Schizosaccharomyces pombe: one gene and its partners. Changing the gene in region 2 together with the main gene of any one other region gives a genetic interaction. Each region holds a gene or a part of one and is shown on either strand. Other genes may lie near its edges. The genes, in order: ria1, nop16, SPOM_SPAC9G1.07 and ftm6.

Evidence for each region.
Region 1: mutations in nop16 (region 2) and ria1 together harm fitness more than expected from each alone (negative genetic interaction), as found in Schizosaccharomyces pombe (one large-scale study listed by BioGRID).
Region 3: mutations in nop16 (region 2) and SPOM_SPAC9G1.07 together harm fitness more than expected from each alone (negative genetic interaction), as found in Schizosaccharomyces pombe (one large-scale study listed by BioGRID).
Region 4: mutations in nop16 (region 2) and ftm6 together harm fitness more than expected from each alone (negative genetic interaction), as found in Schizosaccharomyces pombe (one large-scale study listed by BioGRID).

What each region holds. Positions count from the first base shown.
Region 1 is NC_003421.2:286,194-295,295, reverse strand, and holds ria1 (GTPase Ria1), read right to left. Parts: upstream 5,417-9,102; 5' UTR 5,385-5,416; coding exon 5,289-5,384; exon of another isoform or gene 5,234-5,288; coding exon 3,081-5,233; exon of another isoform or gene 3,036-3,080; coding exon 2,282-3,035; 3' UTR 2,066-2,281; downstream 1-2,065. Other genes in the region: kpa1 (DinB-like DNA repair polymerase kappa), read right to left, coding at 78-275, 322-834, 881-1,320, 1,360-1,852; spb70 (DNA polymerase alpha B-subunit), read right to left, coding at 5,810-5,980, 6,020-6,328, 6,371-7,349, 7,391-7,656. UniProt on the Schizosaccharomyces pombe protein: GTPase involved in the biogenesis of the 60S ribosomal subunit and translational activation of ribosomes.
Region 2 is NC_003423.3:4,375,840-4,382,974, reverse strand, and holds nop16 (ribosome biogenesis protein Nop16), read right to left. Parts: upstream 2,559-7,135; 5' UTR 2,490-2,558; coding exon 2,344-2,489; intron 2,222-2,343; coding exon 1,738-2,221; 3' UTR 1,652-1,737; downstream 1-1,651. Other genes in the region: chr4 (SEL1/TPR repeat protein1, 3-beta-glucan synthase regulatory factor Chf3/Chr4), read left to right, coding at 1-1,335; trp1 (anthranilate synthase component II), read left to right, coding at 3,475-5,754; ADP-ribosylation factor-like protein Arf6, read right to left, coding at 6,165-6,310, 6,354-6,552, 6,608-6,680, 6,883-6,913, 7,013-7,118. UniProt on the Schizosaccharomyces pombe protein: Involved in the biogenesis of the 60S ribosomal subunit.
Region 3 is NC_003424.3:1,979,601-1,987,267, reverse strand, and holds SPOM_SPAC9G1.07 (Schizosaccharomyces specific protein), read right to left. Parts: upstream 4,276-7,667; 5' UTR 4,087-4,275; coding exon 3,061-4,086; exon of another isoform or gene 3,016-3,060; coding exon 2,830-3,015; 3' UTR 2,726-2,829; downstream 1-2,725. Other genes in the region: PAK-like GC kinase Sid1, read right to left, coding at 40-1,338, 1,395-1,511; putative mitotic spindle organizing protein Mzt1, read left to right, coding at 1,724-1,918; SPOM_SPAC9G1.08C (phospholipase), read left to right, coding at 1,975-2,700; cytokinesis protein Cyk3, read left to right, coding at 5,161-5,227, 5,311-7,667.
Region 4 is NC_003423.3:7,523-14,239, reverse strand, and holds ftm6 (transmembrane helix domain-containing protein), read right to left. Parts: upstream 3,672-6,717; coding exon 3,231-3,671; 3' UTR 2,889-3,230; downstream 1-2,888. Other genes in the region: SPOM_SPBC1348.05 (transporter), read right to left, coding at 1-668; SPOM_SPBC1348.04 (methyltransferase), read right to left, coding at 1,627-2,064; ftm5 (transmembrane helix domain-containing protein), read right to left, coding at 5,226-6,260.

The DNA of each region.
Region 1 (9,102 bases), on a different chromosome or scaffold from region 2:
TTACCATAAGCTAGTTGCGCAATGATTCGCAATCCAAAACTTATTTAATGTTGCTTTAAGGTCAAGATTAATAAATTTTATTCCAAGAAATATGTGTCTAATGTGTTTGATTTTCTTTTTTTGATTGTAGGATTTGCAGTATGATCGGTATTGATCAAGGATTTAACTGTTTCGACATTTAAGCAAAGGTCGACATGTTGGTTCAGTATACCTAATTCGTTTTCAATATTTTTCTGGCAAACGGGACAAGGAACGGTATTCTGGCTTTGGAATTTCTAGTAATAATTAGCATATTGCTAGCAGTATATTTGCTTGACTTACAAGTTGCATGGCCAAACAACGCGATTTACTAACCAGCTTTGTTGCTCTGACTCCTAATAAACGAATAGTCATAGGGTAAGATTGACGCAACAATTGCAAAGCTGGTTTCAATAAATCAGATTCTGAATGAATGAATTGACCTATGCTCTTTTGCTTGGTATGAACTTGAAATTCGCTTGTTTTATACTTTATAGCGATCGAGTTTGTGACTAATCCGCGCTTTTGTAAATTTTCAGATACATTTTGTACAAGAAGTCTGAGCTTGTACTCGATTATTGACGGAGAACTAAGATTGCTGGAAAATGTAGCTTCAGACCCAATTGTTTTTCGTTTGCTCTCACCGTATTCGTCTAAAATTGTAGTTCCAAATCCATAGCTACATCTCAACAAGTTTTGGAAACTTTTAGGTAAAAAGATATAAGATAAAATCACCAAATTTCTTTGAATATCCCCACACGTCTTAATTTCCAAACCAAGTAATTGCTGCTCTAAAACTCTACCAATACCAGAAACCTGTAATGTTAAAGAATGCTTAACCAGATATAGAAAGACTGCTTACCTCTCTAACAGGCAAGTCATTCATGAATTTTGAAATCCCAATCTCGTCAAATGGGATAAAAAACTGATTATTTGGTTTTCTCTTATTGCTTGCAATTTTGGCTAACAACTTGTTTGCTGCAATACCACAACTGACTGTAACTCCTGTTTCTTCATGCACTTGTTTCCTGATTTTCTCAACCACCATCGTTATGTTTTCTACAGTAAATGCAAGCTCTTGGAGACGTAAATGTGAAGTCAAGTTCATATAAAATTCATCAATGCTTGCAGGACACAAATTCGAATCATACTGAGCAAGCACATTCTGAATTTCTTTAGATTTTATTGCATATTCAGAAAGATTTAACGGAATTACAACTAGATCAGGACAAATCTTTCTAGCAATAAATTCTGGCATCGCTGATCGAACTCCAAACTTTCTGGCCACATAATTAGCAGTACCTTATTCAGCATTAGTTTCAGTCAGATTCGAATACTTACACAAAACACTCTTCCCGACTGCCATTGGTAAAGACTTAAGTTTTGGATTCTTAAGTTCCTCTATTGATGCATAAAACGCATCACAATCAACATGAACAATTATTTGGGTCAAATCTCGTTTAGCCCTAAAATCCTCAACAGTAGTATCCACACTTTCTTGTCTAATGGTCCACTCTCTTTGAAACGCTTTATCAAACCTTAATTTTGATTGGTATTTTTCTACCTCAACTTGAACCTTTTCTATTCTTAAACGAAGTTCTCGGTCTCGTTTTTGTTCGGCTTCAAAAAACTTACTTCCTTTGGAAGCTTCGTAAATTATCTCGTTAATCTTTTTTTGATTAACATTTTCCTGTCCTGACTTGAGAACAGAAGGGCCTGCCAATCGTCGTTTTAAAGTAGCTTCTTCATCTGAACTACTGCTACCATCATCTTCAATGGTAAGTAATCCATTCTCCTTTATTGTTTCTCCTATAAAATCTTTTGCATTTTCCATCCGTCAAAAAACATTAAGGCGAATAGTTTTCAAAATACTAGAATTTGAATTAGTACAAAGATGTGTTTGTGTTTTGGCGCGTCGCGTCTGTAATCTATCACCTTCTAGCGATTACGCAGTAGAGTATATCATTATTTGTATTATGCATATCCCACAACATCGGTATTTTTTGGAAATTTGAATTTGTATTAACAATTTAAAACATAACAAAAAGAAGCCTAAAGAATCTTGCATGTGCGTTTTACACTATTCATCTTATAGACTTCTAATCTTAGTCCCATAGTTCATGAAACACTTAACTCAAAATCACAGCTACCTCAACAATGTAACAAAAAAAAAAAAAAAAACATTACCTCCATCTAACCAGGTCATTGTCATCAAATTACAATCTTTTCGTTTTCCTAAAGAAATTGGAATCAAGTACTATCTTTAATGCTTCAGTGTCCTCTGCTTCTCTGCCTTTTCAACAATCTTTTGCTCTACCAATAAGCCTTTCCTTTTTCGAACGTTCAGCATATAGCGCTTAGCAATATTTTCGCGATCGGCTAACTCGCCTAAATCTTCCAATTCCTCCTCAGTAGTTGGAACCCAAAAGGGATTCTCGTCTAGCATCTCAAAACCATGGAAGATTAATTGAGGATAGGCAGCACCAGATGTCCTTTTCAAAATTTCTACAGCGAATCCAAAGGATTCAACAACTGGAATCAAGGCTTTTACAATAAAAAATGGAGTCCCTTCCTTCATTTCTTCATCAATTACTCGTCCTCGTCGCTTCGAAACAACACCATATACCCTACCCAAGACTTCAGATGTGGCCTGAACATCGCAAGAATACATGGCTAGCATAAGTCTCGGTGACCAACCTAAAAATCCATGTCTAATAGACTCTTTCACTACCGAAATAACTTGACCGGGGATTTGGGGATTATTGATGGTAAGTAACTTACTATCTTCCGAGTCATCAGATATGTCAAACTGATCGATTGACACACAAATGCCTTGAACGGGTTCAGCACACAATGGTCCCTGGTGCGTTATTAGTTGAAATGCAGTAACTACATATTCAGAAAGGTCTGAGGGTATTAATTTTGTTTCATCGCTTTGTCGTCGAAAATCTCTCATCTTCTTGGTTTTGTCAAAAAGTATATTAGGACCCACTCGTTTGGGGCCAAACGCAATGATACTAGTATTGTTAGTAATCAACCAATAGAACACTAGTATAACCTACCTATCCAAATGATTTTTCAGCTCGCCTAAGTCAGAGTTCTCTTCCTCTAAAAGCTTGGAAAGCCTTTCATAAAACTTCTCAGGAGTCAACACTTCCTCCATACTTTTTGTTAAAGATTCCGAGACAACAACGTTTCTATTTTTCTTTGAAAAATTGCTGCTAACATTTTCAATTGTTTTAGAGTGCTTCAGCAGAAAATCTACGACAGACCCAGAAAGAGGTGTTACTGTAATTCCAATCGTAACTCCGCCAACTGGTAACGTTGCAGTGACAAAGCCAATACTCAGTTCTTTATTTTTTGCTAATAAGTCGGGTGTAGCTATGGTAGTTTCCCGATATGGCACAAGTGGCTGAGATGCTTGTATTTCAATTTTTGCAAACCGTTCCCTAAGGTCTTTTAAACATCTTTCCAAATGAATCTCTCCGGCACACATAATTACATGCTCTCCATTTTCTTCAACGGCTATTTGAACACATGGATCGGCTTGATTAAGCATGTCAAGGCCAGTCACTAACTTGTTCATCTCAAATGGACGAACAGGCTCTAAAGCGACCCGCACAATGGGCTCCATTTGCTGAGTTACGCCCACTAAATTAGGACCATTTGGAGATGAGCATAGTGTTGCTGTTCTCAAAACCGTTCCGGCAAGGCCACCGATTGCGAAAACGTTACCAGCGGGAACTGTCTCTAAATAAACTAGCTCCTGTCCCATCATTAAATATAATGACTCAACCGTTACCTTGGTAATATGTTTTTCAGGATTGACTGGATCATATTTTGGACCATAAACATATACTTCCTGTCCAACTGAAATTGTGCCACTGTATATCCTAGCAAAGCCAATTAAAATGTCCTTATCATCGTCCATGTCAGTTGTGCTACCTTCTAAATTGTCAGAGTTGGTAGAAGAAACGTTTTCCTCAATAGAAATGGTATTTATGCCGCTCTCAATTGATTCAGATAATTTTGAACGTATCAATTTCATCTCCTCAGCACTAAGTTGTTTGCGACGATGATTAGGAAGATCTCTTTCAGAAAAAGCTACCATTTTACTTATGTATACCAAAACAGGCTGTTCCTTACTAGCGTCACAACTTTCCATAGCCAGTGTAATATCTGGATCTATCATTTCGTAATGAGGAGTTGAACTCAAAACTTTCCTAGCTCGATTCGCTTGGGCGTTAATAGGAGAAGGAATTTCCCTAATCGCTGTTAACAAAATTGCAGTTGATAGTGGCAACCACTGTTGAAAAATCGCAAGTAGCAAATTTCTAGGGTCTTTGGATTTGATGTCACGGGGAAGAACTTTAATGTTTAATGCCTTAATGATTTTCTCAATGTTTTCAAGGTTCCTATTGCTCACAGCTGATTCATAAACAGCCCAGAGGTTTTCGAGAACAAATTGTACAAACATTGGTTTTAACCGTCGGCCTTGAAGATGTTTGGGCTGAAGAACTCTTTTAGTTTTAGGGTCTAGATAATAATCACCCCAGAGACATTTTGTAAGTGCTTTTTGTTTTAATCCAAGCTTTTTTTCGTAAAATTCTGAAAATTGGTCCAAACAAAATGCCCAGCCATCGTATGCACTAGCAAACACAACGTTTCCCTGTTCAGGTGCGAAATATATACCTTCATCACTGATGACTTCGTCGTTATCAGCTAATTGCATAAGCTCACCAGTATAAAAGGTGCCAATGACAGCATTTACTTGTTCAACAAGTCGAAGCAAATGATAATGAGCTTCAATAGGAGACAGTTTCAGTTCAGTAATCAAACGATCCATTTTGTTAATGACTAAAATCACCTTTATACGGTCTATCCATGCTTGTCTAAGGACAGTAATTGTTTGACTACAAACACCCTCAACTGCGTCTACTAAAACAAATGCACCATCGCAAAGCCTTGAGGCCGAAGATACTTCAGAACTGAAATCAACATGACCAGGAGAATCGATAAGATTAATCAGGTAATCTTTTTCAACTCTTTTTTCATCATTTTGGCTTATAACTTTAAAAAACAATGAAATGGCGCTAGACTTCATAGTAATACCTCTCGTAATTTCATCTTCGCGAAAATCAAGAAAACGAACAGTACCAGCAAGTTTGCTAGATATGATTCCATTCGAAGCTAGTAAACTGTCTGCAAGGGTTGTCTTTAATTAATCATTAGCAACTATTCAAAAAAGTTTAAAATTGCAAAATTCATACCTTTCCATGATCTACATGAGCAAGTAATGTAAAATTACGAATATTTTCCTGATTTTTTTGTAAGGACACAAGCTTTTCTGGAGGAATAACAGGCATTTGCACTACTTCCCCTATGTATGTTGGAGGTCAACTGTAGTGACTAAGTAGGTTGAGATGTGAAACACCAAGACTAGAGTCCAAATCGAAAAAATGTTGAACATTCAAATACTACAGTATAAAAGGAATACTCATTCAACTATAAAACAACGACTAAAAGTTCGCGAGTAGCGATTTGAGATATATCAGAGATTGTCTTAGACATTTGAGGAAAATGGTTAAATTAACAACATAAACATATGAGTAATTTTGCAAACAAAATTTGAAGAAAACCAAAATAGCGATAGATAGAAAATGAAAGCTGAAAAGTTAATTAATTCTAACGGTCTATGGTAGACATCTACATAAATAATGATAACCAATGATATTTAACGCTGAATTTTTTATATTTTCAATAAATTCCGCAGAAAAAGAGAGTATAATTATCATAGTTTTAAAATTTCTGCCTTGGTTCGAAGCCATACACGATGTGAATAATGATTAGAAGAACCATTATCCCCGAGCTCTAATGGCGCGATAGTTAATTTTGCAAAAGTGCCCAAATTAATCCCTTTGGTCGCTTTACCAGGATTCAATGATACAACGTTTTCAACGTTCTATAACATTAGTTAAAACAAAGTAGAAAATTAACATACCTTTACGAAATAACGTAAATCACTTGGTAAAATTAGTATGTCCGGCATAGTATTTAGGAATTCACCAAGTTTAAGATGTGCGATATCTAAGTTTGAAGGGTTGCACTTTTCAAGAGAACCTCCAGGGAATAAGGGATAAAAATGCCTTTGGTGAAGTACGTGAGAAACCAAACGTGCAAATAAGTTACCATGAGAAGGTAGACGAAATAACTCTTCTCTAGATGTGTGAAGGAGTATATCGTTGGTTGACACACCAAAGACGACATCATTAATGGAAAACATGCAAGGATTCGGGAAGCATTTGAAGTTCTATGGATTGGTCAATAAAAATTATTATACAACTTAACATACAGATGGAAGACCTAAGGCCACCCGATTAAATGCATCCTGTGGCCATGCAGGATGATCTGAAGCAGCATCATTGATGTGAGGAATTAAAATACAAGGACAAGTTAGCTGGCTTAATATGGGTGTGACACGCTCTTTAAACAACTCTTCCAAAGAAGTCGCAGACGTTCCTGTAATGTTTCCGGTACGTATTAGTATATGATTAATATCCAAGAATGGACCACATAGAATAACCAAGTCAACAGGATTTTTATTTACATATGAAATCATTGATTTTAAAGGGGAAAAAGAGAGATCATCACGGAGAGACCAAGGTCCAGATGCAATATATATAGAAATTGGCTGATTATTTGTATTAGCAACAAAGGTAGCGTGCTCCTGTTTAGATGAACTTGGGAACGGCAAAGGAGGTATAGGAAGGATTTCCTTGGCGATAAACATGTTACCGCTAGGATTGGATCCTTTAACTGAAACAATTTGACCAGGAAATATTGAGTAACTTGGTAGATCATCCACCTTCAAACGAACTCGAACACCAGCGCCTAGACGTCTTGAACTTTCAAGTAAAATGCTATTTTGGTTGAGTCTTCCACCTAAATTGGTACTTTCGACAACAATTCGTCCTACAACTACAACGGGTTCTTGAGTAAGTTCGCTAGGATTTGCCAAATCTTCATCACTTATGTTGTATTTTCTGCAAGTTAATGCACTAAAAAGCTCAATGCGATCATCCAGAACTTCAGAAGAATCATAAAGCTTTTGATACATGATCCTGTAATTAAATGCCTTGAGATCAAAATTCGCTACGATAACCAGCTTGGATGGAGCTGAAGGTTTTGAAGTTACAATTTTTAATTCTTTATTTAAAACTTCCAAAACCCTTCCAGCGTCACTGGAATTCAATTCGAAAGTTTCGGTAGATGGTTTAGACTCTTGCATCAACGAGTCGCCTGATGCGGTGGTCTTCACTGGTAGACCTAGTCTAGATATTTGTTAGTTAAAACCATTTGCTAATGTACGCACATGCTATCAATATTCATTCCCGGGATTTGCTTTATCGATTTTCTTTCAGGATTCTGTTTAAGTGTGGCTTTTACCTGCCTCTCCATTTGAAATTTCATGTCTTTAGCAAAGGCCTTGAATGTGTCAAGGTCGAGTTTTGGTGTATTTCCTCGTTGCAAACACCAGGACTCCCACTTGTAGAACATTGTTTGCTCGTCCATATTGCAAATTTGGAGAAGTTTATTTCGCTCATCTAGCAATTCCTCATCATCGATAGGAAATTCCATTTTTTTGAAGATTGAATGAAGTTGAAAATGAAACAAGATACCCAAAAAAAAAGACAGTAAATGAATACCTGGGAATATTACGAGCAAATTAATTTGAAGTGACTAATTTTGTACTGTGATGTGGGTCCTGAAAAAGAAATAAATAAGAATAAAAAATACAAGTACACGTACTAGCAATCCCAGTCCAAAAGTGCCCAGTGATAGATTTTCGAAGTTGCTTTTTTTAATTTGTTTACGCGATTCCAACCTAACAACAGATAGAAAAAACGACGTATAGCAGAAAGTTCAACCACTTAAAGAGGTACCCACCAATAATTATGAGTAAACCTTTTTAGGATAGGAGAGTGTATCTTCTTAAAGCAACTACTTAAATCGCTCTTCTAATAAAAACTCGGATATACTGGGACGCTCCGTGGATACTGTGGAGAAACGCAGTAGTATGTGGTTTAATGTGTTTTTTAAACCTCCTTAAACATTTAACGAGATGCTTTTACTATGTAATATTAGTTTACTGATAAATAGTGTAGTATGTATTTTTTTTGTTTTGTCAGCTGAAACTAAGCTATGTTACAATGTGTCCGAGTATCACTATATGTCACATGTTGTAATGTTCTATTTGCTCTATCTACTTTACATGGTAGGTTAAAAAGACAGCTACAGTACCTTTTATGATAATATAAATATCAGTTACAATTAAAGACTTTTTCAAATACTATAAACTGAAATCAACTGAACTTCGTTCCTCAGTTCGGTTATAAGCTACATTAGTGATAACTAACAATAGACCTACATAACAGAATACATATACCCAGCTGCTACTTAAAATACCTGTTTATTGCAATATAATTGATCACGAGGAAAACTCACTGCAATCCTAAGTATCGTTAAATATTATAAACTGCGTAGTTGACATTCGCTATACAGAACAGGCTTGCAACTACTTGACTAGACAATATGGATTGTACAAAGTGAAGTAGAAATATGTTTTATATTTTTTCTCTTTTTTTCTCTTTTTTTTTCGTTGTTTTTTTTTTTTTTTTTTTTTAAACTATAGGAATTTTTGCTAATTAATAGGATCCAACCCTATAGCTCAATTCAGCATATTCGATTTCTTTTTTTTTTGGCTAATTTGTTTAATTTTCAACTTAAAAAAAAAAAAAAGTAACCCAAAATAAAATAAAATGCAATAAAAAAAATAAGAAGCCAAACAATAATTTAAAAAAAAAAAACAATATCTAAGTTAAAAATTATTTCGTTTTCAACTCAATAAATATATACTGGAACATTAAGCTATGTGAAAGAACAAATCTTCTCATACACTACTAAATGTTTCCCATGGTGTTTGAGTTTTTCTTTTTTCATCAAAGAAATTATTTAATAATACAACTAACATCGTCAGCAATAAGCCTGGGCTGAACGACCGTCTTGTTTACAAAAGCTTTAGAA
Region 2 (7,135 bases):
AAGCAGGTAGTAGCGGATTTACCTTTTCCCTTACCAGTATCCGATGAAGAGCAACTTGATTGGATTCGCGCCAATGAAGACCTTGTACATTCTCAAGACATTGACGAAGCATTGGAGTGGGCAGAATACGTCCTTCGATTTACCCAATCTCATCTACCATATCTTCAAACATATGAAAGCGAAAACCTCCATGAAATTAATTATTTGGAATCAATGTGCGAAAACGCGCTCTATAAAATTCGAGAATTTTCAGAGTTAGAGAATGCTAAAGCAATGTATTTCGATGCCTATGTCTACGAGACAGGTGCCTTTGATGTAGAGTCTGATATCCAGCGGGCCTGGGACTTATACTCTTCTTCTGCTAATCTAGGCTATACACGAAGCTTGTACAGATTAGGAGTGTTATTGGAAGATCAAGGTAACCTAGAAGAAGCCGTCGAATATTTTGAAAAGGGTGTTTCAGAGAATGACAGTGCATGCTGTTGGAGACTATCGCTTTTAATTTTGGAAGGGATGTTGGACGGTGTTGGAGAATATGCACACAGGCACGCTAGTGGACTAGAACTTCTCGAACGAAGCGCAGATACAGCTGATGCCGATGTTCCATCCGGACTGTATAGTCATGCTTTGGTGAATCTTCATGAACATCCTGGATTAGTAGATTTAGGGTCTGAAAATATTAGAGTTCCCATAGATGAAGCAACTGCACTTAAAAGTTTTGCGAAAGCTGCTTTTTTGGGTCATTCATCGGCTCAATTACGAATGGGAGCTGTCTATGAGTTCGGAAAATACGGCTGCCCTGTCGTTCCTCGATATTCTTTGTTCTATTACAGTGCTGCCGCTAAAAGGGGGGAAACAGAAGCTGATCTCGCGGTTGCAAAATGGTACCTGAACGGCTCGGATGGTATACCCGTTGATGAGGATTTAGCCTTTATGCATGCTGAAAGAGCCTCTATGGCTGGTAATGCTAATGCTCAATTCCTGATGGGTTATTTATTCGATACAAGAGGTAATACAGAACAGGCAACATACTGGTATAATGAGGCTGCTAAAGCAGGACATAGTGAAGCAATTGAGCGGTTGGCACTTCTAGAGAATCAGATTCAGGAGCCCGAACCAGAAAACATAACTTCATCACAATACCCAAATCAAGACGTTATAAAAGAAATACCTGTTACAGCCTCTGAAACTTCTCCACCGCACGCACCAGCTGTCTCATCTACCCCTGTTACTTCTGCGCCCCCTGTTTCGCAAACAAAAGTTACAAAGGTTTCGGTTCCCAAAAAGACATCTAAAAAGTTTCTTATAAAACATAACAAGTGTATTATATCTTAAGTTGGCAATTTTTGCTCCCTTAGAACATCATTTTTATCATTGGAATCGATTTCTCCCCGAAATTTCGTTTTAGTGTTCAATTGCATTCACATAGCATAATCCGGTTTTTATTTCTCTCATTTGTCCTCGAATTGTCTAACGCTCATTTATAATTGTATAGTTAGCTGATATCCATTTAAGCAATTTCTTTTAAATACATGTTTTCATTCACTACTTTTTCGATAGTATAATACAAAATTGGATCACGAAGAAATACATACTGTGTAATTATTGTTTCATACAAATTAGTCGTCTCAATATTTGCTTTCTAATAGAATTAATAGTATTGAAATAAAAATTTATTAATTTAAATATACCTAGAACACAATCACCATTTTACCGTCCGTATATCACCATTGATGTTTACTTTGTAGCCTTCATGCGAATATACAAATTTTTGAGCTTAGATCCGTTAAATAATTTAGAATTTAATTTAACGTCTTTGGCCATACTTTCAAAATCTTCAGTTCCGTACTTATTTATAAGTCTTTGAATATATGCATGTTCAAATGCACTTAAAGGAAGCATTTTGTTAGACTGTCGAGCTGCTTTTTTTACAGCTTCTTCTTCTAGTTGACGAACAACCTCCGTTTTAGCCGGTGCAATGCTAATTTCTTTGTCTAAAACATCATCAAGTGTTTTTGCCTCTCCGTGAATAATCTCAATAATATTTCCGTCATCATCTCTTCTAACAATTGCTTGACCAGGTGGTAAAGATTTTTTCAATTCATCCAATTCCTCTGAGGTAAGCTCACGATCCTCATTTTCACGTTTAGGATCAGGATAAAGCTTCTCAACACCTCCCGTAACATAATTAGGAGTAGCTAAAAGACCCAACCTCGCATAACTATTTATTTGTTAATAGCAATTCTATAAGAAAGAAAAGAACATAAGACCAAGAAGGAGCGCAAAACTTTTTCCTCAATTTTCATTTGTATAAAACAAATAAAGCAATACTTATTAACTTACTTCTGCCTTAAGGTTGCATGTTTATCCCAATTTTGTTGAATCACAAAATTTCCGTAAATTTTGGCCTTCGCCTTTTTGTTAGCATTACGCCTGGTTAAACGAGGCTTTCCAGATCTTTGCTTATTCCTTTGTCTAGGGTTTGCCATCTTATCTATTTAGAGATAAATGGGGGGAAATGGAAATTGGTAAGCAATCAAAAAAATTTGGTTGTTCGTGAGTTTAAGTGGAGGTGAATGTAGACTACGTGCAGTATGTCTACATAATATTTCAACGAAACACAATAAGATAGTTCTGTGACCTAGTTTAACAATGACTGTTGTCCATTTAATTTATATTTCTCAAATTAATAGACGTTGACAGTTATCACATTTATCATCAATCCTTTTGGTATTGTATAAAATTTAAGTACCCTCATCTTTTTTTTGTCTACATTATAAAGCTGTATGAATTGTGAAACGATATAATATTCTCATAGAGATTTCAATAAAATCTTGAAACAAAATTTATAAATTGATCTTCCTCAACGAATACACTAATTTTAGTGGCATTCCAATATCTAGCACTAACTGTAAATTTCTAAAAATTCCCAAGAATTGTTGAAGTCGAGAAATCATGTATTTTACGTGTCGAATTACCAGAGTAAACAACAGCTATAGGATACTTTTAAAATCACTGTTTAGTCATTTGGTTTACAACTTTATTATATTAACAGTTTTAAATGAACCGACAATTGAAACACCAATTTTTTAATTATTTTTTTATGCCTAATTAAAGATTATTTTTATGATTTCGTTATTCCCTAACCCCAGTATAAAAAAAATTTCGTTTTCTCCTCGTCAAACTTCTTCTTTACCTGCTAATTCTAGTACAATAGTACAACGATTGTTATCGTTATTTGCTAACGTTCATTATGCGATGATTTCTTAGTTGCAATGTCTTAAAACCAAATATATTTTTCGTTGCAGTTCGCAAAATACATTAGCAAGAAACATCGCTTCTATACTATCTTTCCCGATCATTCAAAAGTCGAAATTGTCATTTGCCATCATCGGCTACTTTTTCATTCAGCATTTTTGGTTTTGAGTTTTTGGAAAATTAACGTTAGCACGTCTCAATTATAACAAGCTGAAAATGTCTGAAAAAGTTGACGTTGGTGAAAGCGTCAAAGGAGACGCCTCAGAAAATGCAGTTAAAGAAGTTGCTGAAAGACCAATTGTTATGATAGATAATTATGACAGTTTCACCTGGAACGTTGTTCAATATCTTTCTAATCTGGAAAAACGATATCCTATTATGGTTTTTCGCAATGATGAAATCACTGTCGATGAATTAGAAAAACTTAATCCTTTAAAACTAGTTCTCTCACCTGGGCCTGGACATCCTGCGCGTGATGGTGGTATTTGTAACGAGGCTATTTCGAGATTTGCTGGAAAGATTCCTATACTTGGTGTGTGTATGGGACTTCAGTGTATTTTTGAGACAATGGGTGGTAAAGTTGATTCCGCTGGTGAAATCATACATGGAAAAGTTTCTAAAATAAATCACGACGGTCTCGGATTTTACCAAGGAATACCTCAAAATATTTCTGTAACAAGATATCATTCTCTTGCTGGAAAAATTTCATCACTTCCTGATTGTTTGGACGTTACAAGCTGGACCGAGAATGGTGTAATAATGGGTGCACGCCATAAAAAGTATGCTATTGAGGGTGTTCAATACCATCCTGAAAGTATCCTTAGTGAGTATGGCAAAGAGTATATTCAGAATTTTTTGAATCTCACTGCTGGAACCTGGGAAGAAAATGGCATTGTTATGCCTACAAAAAATAACGCATTTAACGCGGCTATGCGTGAAAATTCGAATTCTGTTTCTTCAACTAAAATTCGCAAACAAGAATCTATCCTTGAGAAAATCCACGCGCAGAGACTTATTGACATTGCTGAAAGTAAAAGAAAGCCTGGTCTTTCTGTGGGTGATTTGCAAACATATTTGAACCTTAACATAGCACCTCCATGTATAAATTTTTATGAGAGATTAAAGCAATCTAAACCAGCTTTAATGGCTGAAGTCAAACGTGCTTCCCCTTCTAAAGGTGACATTAAGTTAGACGCAAATGCTGCTATCCAAGCTCTTACTTATGCTCAGGTTGGCGCCTCAGTCATATCTGTGTTAACAGAACCAAAATGGTTCAAAGGCTCATTGAATGATTTGTTTGTTGCGCGAAAAGCTGTTGAGCATGTAGCTAATCGGCCTGCAATTTTGAGAAAGGATTTCATTATTGACCCTTATCAAATTATGGAGGCTCGTTTGAATGGTGCTGATAGTGTATTGCTAATCGTTGCGATGTTAAGCCGTGAACAATTAGAGTCCCTCTATAAATTTTCTAAATCTTTGGGCATGGAACCGTTAGTAGAGGTTAACTGTGCTGAGGAAATGAAGACTGCTATAGAACTTGGTGCTAAAGTTATCGGCGTTAATAACAGGAATTTGCATAGTTTTGAAGTAGACCTTTCCACTACATCAAAATTAGCCGAAATGGTCCCAGATGATGTTATTCTTGCAGCTCTCAGTGGAATTAGTAGTCCTGCTGATGTTGCCCATTATAGTAGTCAAGGTGTATCAGCAGTTCTTGTTGGTGAATCTCTTATGAGAGCTTCGGATCCTGCCGCTTTTGCACGAGAGTTACTTAATCTTTCTTCTAGCGAGATATCTAATGGTAAAAAAACATCAACACCCCTAGTGAAGGTATGTGGTACTCGTTCATTGTTAGCTGCTAAAACCATTGTAGAATCAGGAGGCGATTTGATAGGGTTAATTTTTGTGGAAAAGAGCAAACGAAAAGTGGACTTGTCCGTGGCCAAGGAAATTTCACATTTTGTTCATACAACCAATAGAAAACACATTTCCCCAAAGAAAGCAGTGACTGGTCAAAGTTGGTTTGATCATCAGTATGAAAATCTTGCTTCCTCTCCGCACCCTTTGTTAGTCGGTGTGTTCCAAAATCAACCATTAGAATACATTCGTTCTATAATAGCAGAAGTGAACTTGGATATTGTCCAGCTTCATGGACAAGAACCTTTCGAATGGATACATATGCTCGATAGACCTGTTATTAAGGTGTTTCCGCTAAATTCTTCTGAAATTTCAAGGCCCAACTATCATATTGTACCTTTGATTGATGCATATGTCGGTGGAGAGTCAGGAGGTTTAGGCAAGAAAGTAGACTGGGAAGCTGCATCTTTCATTCCAGTATCTTATGTCTTAGCTGGTGGTCTAACACCTAAAAATGTACAAGATGCTATATCTGTTAGCCGCCCAGCTGTAGTCGATGTATCGAGTGGGGTGGAGACTGACGGGAAACAAGATCTTGAAAAGATCAAGGCATTTATAAACGCCGTAAAAGAACTTTAACTTGTCTACATTAAATCAAGTTTGTCTAGATGTTTTTGGATACATATCATGAGACTTCGCTTAAAATAACTGGTTTTAGATTTTGTTGGATAAGAAGTGTGCGATAATTATATTATCTGGTTATTGATCACTTTTCTGTATTAAATTAAGAAATATTTTATTGACAAAAATGGCTGTTATCCAAATGTATTTGGCCGAATGAAGCACATTATAAAGTGATAGTAGGAATAGGGAAACGATTGGCAATAGTAAAGTTATATGCTAAAGAAAGAAAATGAATAGTAAAGACTGTACAGATTTAATTAAGCAACGATAAAGGGATAGAACGGAAGCTGATCGATGTAATTATTTGCAATTCTTGGGATAACGAACGAAATAAACACCATGTATTAACAAATCAAAGAAGCAAATTATTTTAACTTTGCGTTTTGACTTAGCCAAGCCAGACCCTCCAACAGCCCGTCTCCTGTAAGAGCACATGTTGGCTGAACGTTCCATAAACGATCCTTCAATTTGTCTAGCTGCAAAACATCGGTAATTTGAGCAGGTGAAAGAGCTACCATAGTGTTAGCATAAGTTATTCGGATTCGCAACCTTACCTCCAGGCAAATCCTGTTTATTAGCCAACACCAAAAGAAGACAGTCCCGCATTTCACGATCTGAAATAATGCGATGCAATTCTTGACGAGCTTCTGATATACGATTGCTGTCGGCAGAGTCAACAACAAAAATTAATCCTTTGGTTCCAGTAAAATAATGCCGCCATAAAGGTCGTATTTTATCTTGACCTCCAACATCCTACAAACAAATCAACGTTAGAACATGCTCGACCCAAGATTGATTATAAATATACCCAAACGTTAAACTTGATGTTTTTGTAAGTGACTGTTTCGACGTTAAAACCCACAGTGGGAATGGTGACAACACTGGCTGTTAGTTAATGAACACAAGAAAAATCAATTTCATTTACGGAAGCATAATTGCAACTCAAGATAATGCGCGACAGTAGACTTCACTGATTAATTAACCAACAGTCTTCGTAATGAAATCTATATCTACTATGCTAATACAGAAGCAGCGCATACGATACCTTGACACAATCGAAGAATGCTGTTTAGTGCTCTTTACCTTTGATTGAGTTTTAATTTGTATAAGATAGCTAAAATGTTAATAAAAGAGTTACCATTATTAAAACACCAAGTTAAGCACGATTATACGGAATGAAGACTGTAAAAATCCATCCGAATAAAAAACATACTCGTTTTTCCAGCTGCATCCAGACCTAGCATTAAGATACGCATTTCCTTGTTAGAAAACAACCGACTAAATGGCTTTGAAAACCCCTTAAATAGTGAATTGCCCATGGTATCAAATAATCCCA
Region 3 (7,667 bases), on a different chromosome or scaffold from region 2:
TGAATGCTGTAAACAGGTTGTTTACGAGTTTTTAGTAAGCTATCCATTTAGACTTCTTCTTTTCTCAGTTTCTTCAAGCCACCGTGAAAATAGTAGTTGTGATATGGGGCTCCGCTTTTGCTTTTTGTGATGCAGTCTGTTGTCTGGAGTAATTTGGTTAACAAATTTTGAGGACAGATTTTTATCTAAAGAAATGAAAGATGTATAAAAAGATTCTAAAGATGAGCGCTGCGTTGCTGACAATTTATCATTTAATAACATCGATCGTATGGTGGACTTAATATAATGTTTCATAGCAAAATCGGAAGTCAACGATTTATGATAAGAGCTACCTTTTTCAGACAATGACTTGGAAAAAGGATGCGGTGTCGCTTGATCACTCATTATAGTTTTCTCTAAATATTTTATTGATGAAGGCAATTCCTCTTTATTTTGTGAACTGATGATGGAATTTTTAGGAATGCTAGTATTCCCTAACACAGTTGAGTCAGATTTCTTTACAGTTTCAAATGTCCAATCCTCAATGTCAGCATTTCCTTCAGCAATTGGTTCTTCAAAGGGCTTTAAAGTATTATTTATGGTTTCTTCCAATACACTTTGATCCGAATCATCAAATAATTTATTCTCCTTCTGAACAAGCAAAGGAATAATGTCTTTCACAGTTCCTGCGCTTTTGATGAATGGGTGTTGAAGGAGTTCTTTAGCTGACCATCGCATATTAGGATTGAGATCTAAGCAGCAGGACACAAAATCACGGAATGTTGGACTGAAATGATCATCTAGCTTTGGAGGCTCGGATTGAGGAATTTCAAAGATGACACGCATTGGATGCATTGTAGCGCGGGGCGGAATTCCGTTAGCCATTTCAATAGCCGTAATTCCAAGAGACCAAATGTCAGCAGCTAAACCATAACTTGTTTGTTGTATTACTTCCGGTGCCATCCAAAATGGCGTTCCAACAAACGTGTGTCTACGCGAAGCAGCGTTCGAAAGTTGAGCGGCAACTCCAAAGTCAGCAAGCTTTACGTTTCCGGTAGAGGAAGATAGTAGTATATTGGCGGCTTTGATATCTCTGTGGATTTTGTTTTGTCCATGAAGATAATTTAGCCCATAAAGGACCTCTCGAAGAATGATTGAAATTACTTGTTCATTCAACCTTCCCATTTTCAAAAGTCCCGAAACTGATCCTCCATCCATATGCTCCATCAAAATCCATAATGTGTATCCGTCAACAAAACAACCGTAATACTGAATTACATTGGAACTGTTGCAATTCGATAACATAAATACCTCTTGTTCGATGTCGGTAATGTCGTCAATACCTGTTTCTAAATCAATCTGCAACTGTAAGTTTTTTGTGATACTAAAGAAGAGTAAAAATTAATTAGTCTTACCTGTTTAATAGCGATAATGTCGCCAGACACATTTTCACGTGCTTTCCAGACAACCCCAAATGAACCTGATCCTAATTTCCGTAGCAGAGTATAAGAATTAGCATTGAGAGGATACATTTCATCAATATTTTGACTGCTCAAATCTGAGGTTGAGCCTACTTTCGGTTTCGTTTTACAAGCACAAGCTAGATGCACCACGAAGTACTTTGTTTATTACTTAGAGGATTATAATGAGCTACTCCGAGACGCCTATTCCAGTAAACTTAACATTACCAACTTGTTACGAAGTATATATAATTAGACTAGTTTATTATAAAGTATCGAGTTTTATGTCTGAATCTACCAAAGAGACAATAGAAGTTTTATACGAAATAGGAACATTGCTTGGAACTGAACTTGATAAAACAACGCTTTCACTCTGCATCAGTCTTTGTGAAAACAACGTACACCCAGAAGCAATAGCTCAAATAATTCGGGAAATACGTATGGCTCAGGAACAAACTGTTGACACAGAACCAAGTTAATGGCAAGAAGTTTAATCTCAATAGTTGACCTCGGGGTTTAGTATTTCTTTTATCTAATGTCTTCTTTAAACAGTGTTCTACCTTCAAATGCATGCGCAGAGATTATTGAAGGGAAAGACAAGGTTCACAATGTAGTTATTTTAATGCATGGACTTGGAGATTCTCACAAGAGTTTTGCAAATATGGCAAAGAACGTTCCGTTGCCCAACACTAGTTATATTTCCTTACGTGGACCATATCGATTACCATTAGATTTTGAAAATCCTGGAGGCAATTGGATGTGGGGAGAGGATGTCCATTTTGATCAAAACGGGGAACTGCAATCTGAAGCCGATTTCTCTAAAAGTTTTACGATGATTTCAAATTTAATTGGCAATCTACTCTCTTACGGTATATTATCTTCTAGAATATTTTTTTTCGGGTTTGGTCAAGGAGCTATGGTTGCTTTATATAGTTGTTATAAATTGTCTACTAAATACCAGCTTGGAGGGATATTTTCCTTTGGAGGTACTCTACCGCTATCCATAACTTTGCCCAATCATCCATTTCATGTTCCAGTGTATTTGTTTGAAAAGCGATTGCATTGTTCATGCAGCGAATATGAAGAATCGCGATTACGTAAAACATTTAAACCATTTCACCTCACATGTTGGAATCGTGATGATAAAACTGACATGCCTTCATCCCCTAGAGAATGGTATACATTCGTTCAATCTATTAGTAAACATTTGTATATTCACAACACGTTGTTTGAAGATGCAATTCCTCTTACATCTTTTTAGAATTGATTTATTTAAGTTAACATTTGTTCACAATAAAGTTAATATTCATTTGGGCATAGATATAACAATAACTCCTCTAGCCATTATGTGATTAAAATTAGTACGTTTACCTTTTGATCATTAAGATTTTCAATCGACAAGATAACTAAGATCCGGAAGCTTATCAACAATTCTATTAATTAGTTGATTTTGGTCAACTGTTTTTATATTTCCACGCCCTGCTCTCTCATTATTAAGAAACGAAGTATTGATCGATTGAATAACAGCCGGAGTGTCTTTAGGAGCTGACAATGAAGTAGAAGGTGAACTAAAATTCTGAAAAATTAGAGTATTTGGCTCAACTTGAGACTCTTCACTTACATCATCAACGGAAGCAGAAGCTAAATTCGATGAGTTTTTCGAGGTATCTTGGGAACTGACCCATGAACCCCATTCAAAATTATCAGAGGTTGGATCCGGGGAAAGAGACGTTGATGAATTTTTTTTCTTCGTTTCTCTAATTTTTTCTTCAGAGTCAAGTTTAGCGATTGATGAATGTTCTTCGACTTCATCAACTTTTTTACGATCCAAACTTAGTGGTGATTTTGGAACAACTTCATCCTCTTTATTTATTGAAATTGTAGAACAACTGTTGCTTTCCCTCTCAATCAATTTGACTGGGGAAGAAAGGAAAGTATTTGCAGATAATTTGTGATCCTGTTTAACAGCAACTGTATTATTTAAAAGAGCCGTAGAAGAAGAATAATCCTTGGGAATTTCATTCGATGATAAATTAGAAAAATCAAGTATATCTGAAGGAACATTTATACTGGAAATCTTGGTCGTAGAAAAATTAGATAAAGGAGACTGTTCCGGTAACAAAATATTTTTGTCATTGATGGGCGGTGTGACAGGTGAATTGGTATAGCTTGCTGTTTTCCTTTTCTGCTTCTGATAAGCTGTTGACCAACAAAAAAGCACATTGCTTTTTCGATTTACATTAGACCGTTCTTGGTTCCATAAAGTCATATGTTCTTTAAGTAAACGACTAATGGTTCCTTGTTTTAGTTCTCCTAAACTTTTCTCATTGTATCCTAAGCGGATTAATTGTCTAAAATTGGTTTCCGAGGTAGCTGTAATACCTATATAATCTTTGGATGCCAATGAAATCCGTTTAGGAGGCTTGACAACGCCAAATGTGTAATCCAACTTTTCATTAATATCTTTCAAATTAAATGTGTCAAGATTGAGAGCATTTTCTTTCCAGACTGATGCCTCCATTGAAAAACTGACATCGTTAGTAATTGAGGGAATTGCTGAATTCGAGTTGGATATATTTTCACTACCCCATGCATTATGAGGATTAGAGGCGTTCGAAAAACTAACAGAGTTCAGCAAATCATCCATATAAATCACATTCCAGTTCTTTAAGTTGTAGATTCTCAATTTAATAATATATGAGTGGATAAAAAAAACGTAGGTGCCATCAACTTCGGGTTAAAAAGAAAACAAAAAGAGCCTTAACTATACTTCTTTTATAAAAGGAACCTTTTTAGAGTATTAGTATAAATGCTCAAGATGAGTTGAAAGCGGTTCGGCTAGGGTAAGCGACTTAAGCCACCACATCGTGTGCAACGCAAGTAGGCAACTTAAATCCGTTCAACGTATTTAGTGTGAAATTAAAAATAAAATAAACTCAATTAAATTTCCGGAAGAAGAATAAATTTTATAAGTAATCATTTTAAAATAGGACAGAGTTTTTTAACAAATTTTAAGCTAGTAAACAATTAATCTAATACTCTGGCGAAAGTTGCTAGCTTTATTAAAGAGGAATCTCATATGGACTGAAGCATCGTGCAAATTTTTGAAAATTACATTTGGTAAATTAAAACCTAGATTATTTCATCTAAATAATATGGCTTAAAGTGCGCATAAATATGGATGCTGGTTTCAAATCATTTGAATATTATGTCTTGTGCAAAAAGCTCTTTAAAAAAATTACAGAAGTGCAAATGTACCACATATTTCAAGTTAAAATGAACCCTTCTAGGACTTCTAACAATTTTAGTAAATTTTCTCACTAAATCAATTATAATCTACATGAAATGAATCTAACATCGCACTCTTTATCGTTAAAGAATGTTTCATGGTAGCCAAATATCTTTCTTTTTTTAATTTTCCTAAAATGAAATTCTAGTATGGTTGAATTTATTACCGATCTGCATTTTATCGAGTATTATTGAAAATATTTCCATTTTTTAATTGTGCGCTAAGTATATAAGTCGCGTTATTAGAAAAATTATGATGTACTCGGTTAATTGAGCTCTAAAAAAAAAACAAAGTTATTAGTGTACTTCGCTTAAATAAGAATCTTATCTTCACATTCATACACAACTCACATCACGTTACGGAACTTCCGCTCCGCTCGTTTTTTATATTAACTACCAAAGACTATAATTTCATTCCTTTAAGCCTTCAGGAATGTCCATTCCTAAACAACTACCATGCATGGTACGTGCTCTGTATGCATGGCCAGGTGAACGTGAAGGTTCGTAACATTTAAAGATGCTGTTAAGTAACGTCGCAATTATTGATGTAAAGTTTAAAAAATATATATTAATGTGTTTTCAGGTGATTTAAAATTTACAGAAGGAGATTTAATAGAATGCTTAAGCATAGGTGATGGAAAATGGTGGATTGGCAGACATATCAATACTAATACACAAGGGATATTTCCTAGCAACTTTGTTCACTGTTTAGATATTCCCACGGTACGACCTGGCAGTTCTATGTCAAGAACTAGCGCTTCTAGCTTTAGATATTCTTCTCCTCAAAAAAGCTCTATAGACACCCCAATAACTTCATCTGATCAAGGTCTAACTCCTGATCTCGTTGGAAGCTCAAATGCTTTGAATAAACCAACCCGAGAGAGTGACTCACTAAAACACCAAAAAAGTCACCCCATGCTCAATTCGCTAGGATCAAGTCTGTCACTTAAGAAAAGCGTATCTAGACCGCCATCTTCAATGTCTCGTACCAACTTAGATGTCTCTTCCAGATGGGACAATACAGCCGATAACGACTCTCAGATTGATGCCCAAGATTTAAGTAGATCTACACCTTCCCCTTTAAGAAGTGCTATGGAAAATGTTCTTCAATCGTTAAATGCAATGGGCAAAAAAAGTTTTAGTCGAGCGAATTCCCCTCTTTTAAGACTTACGAAAAGCACTACAACTAGCAAAGAAACGGACTTCATTCCTGTCCCTCCTGCACATGGGTCCACAAGTATGACTTCTCGATCCAAGCTGGATGATTCAACAGATAATTCGTCAAAACCAAGAACAAGTTTGCAACCAGGAGAATCACCTATGAAGTCTTCAAGAGATATTTCTAGAAAACCTTCCATGGCTTCATCAGTTTTATCTCCGTCTGATTATTTTCCGCAGCACAGGCGTTTTCAGAGTGCTCCCGCACCTATTCCCAGACCCGTTTCAACATTGATACCACTAACTCAAGTTCGGACCACCGCGTCGAATGTTATAAAGCCAAGACCGCAAACAACGGAGCGACCCTCAACTGCTCAATCGTTTAGAAAAGGTGGTGGATTTTTAAAAAAAACTTTCAAAAAGCTTTTGCGTCGTGGATCGTCAAAACGTAAGCCCAGTCTCCAACCAACTCCTCCGGTAAGTTATCCGGCGCACAATGTTCCTCAAAAAGGTGTTCGTCCTGCATCGCCTCATACATTAAAATCAGTAAAAGATGATTTGAAACGTACAAAGACATACACGAAAGCCGAGTTTGCGGCGAAACGGGAAGAAATCTTCAATAAGCTTTCGATGCCGGTATATGAACCATTGAAGGATCTCAGTGAATGTATTGGGAATGTTTTAGCCGACGGCGAGCCAGTGCAGTTCTCTGTAGGTACTAATATTCATAACATGAATTTTAGTGCTATTGATAAACAAATAAGGTCAATTATTCCACAACGTGTCCAGGTCAGTCCTGCTGTACTTGCAAAAAATTATTTAGCTCCAGGACAAACGACTGCGCTCGCTCAAATGAGAGCCGTCTTTATATATATTTCTGAACGTATTACGTTCACTAATCAAACTTTGGACAATGATGAATTACGCACAAGTACACAAGTAATTTCCGAAGGACAGGGAACTCCTTTTGAAGTTGCACTGTTGGTTAAAGAAATGTTGCAAGCACTAGATTTATGGTGTGAGGTTATCGAAGGATATCTTAAATCACCAGATGACATCTATTATACCAGAGATATTAATATAAATCATGCTTGGAATGTTGTTACATTTGACAATGAGGTTCGTCTAATTGATGCTAGTTTTGCCAGTCCAACACACCCACAGCAGGCCTTGAAATCCAGCAGCTCCAATGATTTTTATTTTTTAATGAAACCAAACGAGTGTATATTTACTCACGTACCTGAGAATCCGGACCAGCAGTTTATAATGCCAGATTTGTCTATGCCTATAGTAATGGCATTACCTTGGGTATCGTCTGTGTATTTTACTTTAGGATTGAAGTTGCGTAAATTCAATACCAGTATTCTACATTTAAATGACCTTGAAGTTTTACAAATCGAATTTTTAGCTCCAAAGGATATTGAATGCGTTGCTGAAGTTGATGCTCTATCTGCTTTAGCACCTACTGCTGATGTTTCACAGTGTTATAAATACACGTTAACACAGGCTTTCTGGGAAACTCCGGATATTCGTGTTATGAGAGTTAAAGCTGTTATGCCTGCTAATAATCGTGCTGCGGTGCTAAGGATATACGCTGGTCGCTTAGGAGTCTCTAGTCCCGTGAGGACTGCACCTCATCCTATGGCAATGTCTCTTCCATTTGTACATCATGGCAAAAATAAAGCTCTAGAGTTTGTGACTCGTCATCCTGTACCACATTGTCCATCGGTTGATTTGTATATTAATTCCCCCCAATGTGGTACATTGCATTCTGGTGTTGAA
Region 4 (6,717 bases), 4.4 Mb from region 2:
TATGTTTCCTTTAGTAATAAAAAGGCCCAAAATAAATTGAACCCTGATAAAATTAATAGAATCCAAAACTCCCATTGCCAACCAATTGAACTTTGGCTAATAAACCCAGAAATTATAGGCGCAATTCCTGGTCCAATCGAGAGAACGGTAAAATAAATCACCATATATTTTCCTCGATCTTTTTTTTCAAACAGATCAGCCAGTGAGCCAGATCCATTTGATAAACCAACGGATCCGAAAAGTCCAGAAAAAAAACGAAATACTAAAAACATTGCCAAATTTACTGACAGAGCAATGGGAATCTGAAGAAGTGCAAATACGCTATAACCAATTAAATATATAGGTCTTCTTCCAAACTGTTCACTAAGTGGAGCAAATATTAAATTTCCAAATAATATCCCTAATGTATAAAGTGTGGCTCCTAGAGTGACCAAGGTTCGCGAAGCATGAAATTGCTCTGCAATATTGGAAATACTTGGCGCAAAGACACTATCACCGTATTGATTCAAAAAAGTCATTGATGAAATAACAATGACATTTCGTACCTTTAAACGAATAGGCCATGTTTTAGGGTTATATTTGTCTGGACAGTTTGTCTCTAGAGGGGTTGATGGCACGTGTTTTATGGAACTTGAATCGCATTTTTTTAAAATTGACTCTTCTTTCATATAAAACACAGAAATTTGTTTGAAAAAAAAAATGAAAATCTTCTAGCGATTATTCAAGTAATTACGTAGATTGATTAAGCAATACTAAAGGTCGTTTCCACTATAGTATTCCTATACAACAAAAAATCACCAAAAGTTATTTGAAAGTAGTAGGCTTGAGGTTCTAAATTAAAAGCAATTTTCTTTTTTGGTTACTTTTGTATGGTCCGGTTAAAATATAAAATTAATGCACAAAATACTTAACTTATGTATATAATCTCAGTTACGCGGAAAATACATGCAATAAGTTTTCCGCGGTGCACGCTTCACCGCGGAGCATTCTAAGTAAGCACGATAGCAAGTTATAAATTACAGGCATGGAAAGTATACTCAATTTATTTTAATAGACTTTTTTCCAAGTTCTTTTATACAATTCTGCTATTTTGTCCTATAGATCGCCTCAACGAACACTCACTACAGAAGAATTCTTTAGACTTGCACGATCCCATCCATCATGGATCCATCCTGCTGATTCAGCAAATGACCACCTCACACCTGCTTTCTTTGGCATTTATATTCGATCCATAACTTTCTAACCATTAATATAATGCTGAATTCATGAATGTTAACAATCGATTTCTAATAAGAATAGCCAATCTATCAAAGTTAAAAGCTCTGGTCAGTTTAATGGATTTTCGCTAGTGCATCATAGCCTTGATATTTCTAAGGTTTCCATTGGTTGTAAGTTTCTTTCAACTCTTCGTAAAGAACAGTTGTTAGCTAGCTAATTGAGTGTCTGAATTTTTTTTTGTTAATGGGTTCTTAAAATTGATGTATATGTCCATTCATCTTTATATATTTTATGTACATGAACTATTTACAACGCATTTTGGCAAACCATGTGTAAACATTTATTTTTCTAGTTAGGGGAAGATGAAGCAGGACTTTTCTTCTTTAATGTCTTCAATCTTCCAATAGTTTATAAAGAAAGCTTTTTGACATTGTTTCTTTTTAAAGCGAGGGAATACCTTTTATGGCCCTGCCACCGTCTATAACGTGATTTGTTTGTTTCGCTAAACGCTCTTAGGAAAACGGAGCTATCAGAGTGACATATATGACTTAACGAAGCTGTGTATGGCTCATGATCACTATTTAGAATTGAATGAAAACAACCAATGTCAATCACAGTGTCGAAATGCCCCTTGAATTCATTTAATCTTGAAAAATCGCGTTGATTAAAGTTGACATTACTTTTTTCACTAGATGTTTTATCGATTGCTTTAGAAATAGCCCTTTCGGAAATATCAATACCCACGACTTTATATCCAAGACTGGCTAAATATCTAGCATTTCTATTTGGTTCACAACCGGCATCTAATACATTCTCATGTAATTTCCCCAGTTGTACAAGATTCATGATCTATTCGTCTGGTTTCTCATTATCAAATGGTGTTGCGGGATCTTCATACATATTTTCCCAAACTATTTTTTACTTCAGAGATATATTTCTTCATTGTTCTTAATGATATATAAAAAATGGTGAAATATTTATTTATTGCCCCATCATGTTTATTTTTATATCCTTCTTTCTCTGTCAGGAAATCTATTTCCGAGCTGACGATAAAAAAACATGTTGCAAGTCGCCGAAACTACCTCGGCTTTTATTACTATGTCCGAAAAGTGCGCGAAATATTGGAATGGCTTGTAAATTATGCATTTAATCAAATAAAGTGATAGTAAGCGCAAAGTGTATGACTCAATGAAAATCGGGTGTATCAACTACTCAGTTGTTTACCATACAATGTATTGTAAATTATGGGTAGTGTCGTCGCTATTACATTTAAAAAATATATTATATTGAAGGTATCTAATAAGAAGTAAATGTTTTTCTGTGTAATAATAGTGAATTCTTCTCATCAAAAATATAAACGAACTGATTTTTCGTCACCTTATTAGGTTATACAAAGTCATAACAATGCAAAACCAAAGCGGATAGCATATCAAACTAAGAATATGACTTGCTATTAAAAATTAGTTTCGCTTGAGTTTTATTTTAAGAGTAGTAATAGTCAGAATTTATTGTGCTGATACACTTCAACTTACTTGATTAATAATTGAAAAAGAGAAATTTACAATTGAAATTGAAATGGATGGATTTGAAACAAACCATTCGTCAACATCACCGCTACTTTAAAAATGCTACTGTACTTGCGAGTATAACTACACAAAAGTACATATTTAAGCGGTTGCATCAAGTAATGTCATATATAGAAATACAATAATATAAACGGAGCACAAACTGAACCTCGTTCTTGATATATCAAGTCTTCTTTATTGTACCATAATGTTGTATGTCGTTGTGCTATATTTTTTTGTAAGTTACAATCATACTGATTGGCATAGCTTCTGCTTTTAACTTAACGGTGATCAAGCCATATTTGATCAGGTTAGGCAGAATTCCAATGATTGCATTAGAAGGTTTAGATCTTCAAGTCAATTTTACGATTACAAGCAAAGGAGAAATAGCAATCAAGCCAGTATCGAATACTCATTACACGTATATAGCAAGATACTATGGAATTGTTATTGTGATATGAATCTTGATGGTGGATTATTATAGCCCTGGTGCAGATCACTAATATCGGTTTTCGAGTAAGAATGATTCTTGCTTTCTGACCTAGTGACTTTCTCAATAGAGAAAAGTATAATGACTTGAAATTTAGAAAACGTTCTAATGGAGTTAATGGAGTGAGTTCTAATGAAACGAGGAAAAAATTTGTTATGATATACTACGACGCATCCAAATGTAAAGGATCGGAATTTAGATGAAGCCGATGGTACTTCCGAGTAAATGTACCAACAATATAATAAATAAATCAGCAATTTTACTGCTAGACAATATTTCACTGTGAGGCTTAGTCTTGGTATAAATAGAGGGACTCTGTCAAAACAAATATTTTGAACTAGACTCGAATTCTTCATAATTCTATTCACTTGAGTGTTTATTTTTTTTAACAATGCCATTACATTTACGAGATATGTGGATATCCACTGACGATTATAAGGATGTTTTACTTACGTGTCCTGTGTGGTATGAAATTAGTGAAAGAGAATTAAATCATGCTGTTTGGGGACAATATTAAAATGGTGAAGTTATAATGAAACAGTTGTTGGAAGCGATTAGTTTCAAAAATTAGCGACTCGTATTTTGTTTATTATTATTATTATTTTTTCTTTTTTTTTTATTCGCTGTTTTAAAATTGTTTCCAGCAATCTTCTTCCTGTTCTCTTTTTATCCGTTTGACAACACATTTTGCTAATGCTTTTTTTTTTTTTTTAGTTCAAAGAAGACTGGTACGAGAAATAAACAAGTTGAGTAGTTTCGAAAGCAATTGGCTCTTTCTTTTTTTTTTTAAACTTGTCTTATTAATGTTAACATAACATTTTGTTTTTAGTCCGAGTATGTCGTCAGTTGAAAACCGTAACGGTTCTCATTGTGCCTGTTCTTCCGGTTTATACGAATAAGGTAAGAACATTCAAGAAAGCGTTTGATATGAAGTCTGTTCCATTATTGCTCTTAGTGCCTGACAAACGTTGTTAGTCTGTTTTGAGTTTACAAGTTTGTTAAGCTAATAGCCATTCATTGATCTTCATTGTTACATGCTTTCCATGGAATAGTTGGAGGTGTTTACTTTTCAACTTGTTAGCGATCGCTTGCTAACATTTTTAATAATAGGTACTTTGTTGTTCTCAGTGTGACTGGCACGAACCAGCAAATGTTTACTCGATTGAACAAAGGCGTAGTCATGATGATGATCTTCCTACCATTAAGGGTTCTGATGCTAGTACTCAACAGTATGAAAGAAAAACTTATATTACCGATGCTAGTCCCGAATCTCAGAATCTGTTTTTAAGCAAAAGTAAAGAGGAGGGAGTTATCTTCTTATGCATACAAGTAAGCTTTTAACCTTGATTCTATTTATTCACTTTTACCATTTACTACTTTCGCAAATTCCTGTTTTTTGTTGGGGATATGAAGGGGAATATAAGGGTAAAGTAGATGAAATGGATGTATTTGAAAGTTGATTTGGATTCGATTTATTACTTTGAATCCCCGTTTATTATTATACGTTTATGTCGTTTTAAAGAAAACCATGCGATGTACTATATTAATTTTGTAAAATATATATTATAGATAAAAAAATTGTTGGGAAAATGGGAAAGCAAGTTGAAAATAATTAAATTCAATAAATTAGCAAAATATGTTTATGAAGGTAACCAGTTTTTTCTTTTTATTTTTTTTTTGTCTATATGTCAGATTCGCAACTTTTAAGTTTGAACAAAACATTATTTCACATCGACTCAAAGGTTATGTGTATTTAAAACGTTCCAGTAAAAAAATATTCATTTGTAAAAAATAAATAGGTGGTATATTAAATAAGAATGAACTTACTACACAATTTCTGTGTAAAAAAGTGAGATTAAAATAACTGGATATTAATCCATTGATAAACAAATAATAAATAAAATAATCCCGGTAACCCCTTTAAAGGTGAATCAAGTAAACCATGGTTTTTGTCAAATCATTTTCTCTTGAGCCTCTTCAGCTACATTTCGATTGTAGGCAAGTGCTTCATTATGGGTGGGAAACATTATGTAACATGGAAAAGCAATTTTCTCCATAAAAGTGAAAAGATCACCAATGATCACCGACAGTCTGTAATCAAAGTTTCCAAATATAATATTCGACAGGTAATGCAACATTGGAGATGCACAGAATATAAAGATAAATGCATTTAGCATTCTTCTAAAAAATCTGGCTTTTGAAGCATTTTCGTAAGTTGTTACAGACGTGCATTGTTTCAATAAATGACAAATAGAATACACCCAAATTGCAGGAGATACCTCATACTGGATCATGTCAAAAATCTCTGATACTACATATACGTCTTTATATAAAGAAATCCAGTATACAGAACATAAAGCAATGACAATACTAATTCCTTTTATCATAAGATATTTAGGAACAGTTCTAGTTATGCCGAAACCCAATGCACAGTAAATCACAAATAATCGATAAAAATTTGTCCGAAGAAAATCAATTATTTCATACACCGAATAAAATTGTCTGTATTTTATACATTCGGAAGAAAAAACATACTCCTCAATGCATTCTTGTAGAGTCTGATTTAACGCAAAAAGAAAAATATAAAGGCAGATTACCTTTTGAGCAGGAAATATAATCTTGCTGAAATGTAAACAAGTCCATATCCAATAGCTCAAAAATAATAGTACTCCTCCCATTTCAGCTACAGAAATATAGTTCCAAATGCCAATTTCGTCATTATTAATTTGATCTTCTGAAACCGAATACCCCATAAGGTCTAAATTAAATTCAGCTCCATCCATTGTCATTGGTCTCGCAGCTACGCAGTAAGAACCCGTTTCATTAATCAAAATAGTTTTCCATATACTTGTAATATTTTCGCCCGTCCATACCGATTCCGAGTTACCAGAATATGCAAATGATCCCATCTCTCGGTTTTGGGAATTAAATTCCTCAAAAAAAGATTTTTGGATCACCGTGTCTCTTGATTTTACAAAGTCAATCATCTCCTCAACTTGATCATTCCAGCCAATTATATTTTGCCATTCATTTGCTTCAAAAAAAGACAAAGCAATTTCTCTTTTATCGAAGCTTTGTGCAAAAAAATTAGCATGTATTCTGGCACCGTTAGATTCCTCCACAATGAACCAACTGCACTTAAGAGTGAGCTTTTTGGCTTCTTTAGGCAGTCCATTATGGTTTGACAAGGTAGAGTTTTCCTTTTATGTAGTAATAGATACTGCTTTGGCGTCTACTTCACCTTTAACTAGAGTATGGAGAACTAGGTTGCATAACAGCAATGCTAGTGTTTTATGAAGACGCATCTTTAAAAAAGTTGGTAAATGATGCTTGCTCAAGGGAAAAGCAGATCAGGAATGATTAGCCTTTTATATCTTTCGTTTTGGAGTTACCGTGCTCCACGTTGCATAACGTTAGCGTTAAAACATTGGGAAGATTGGAGGG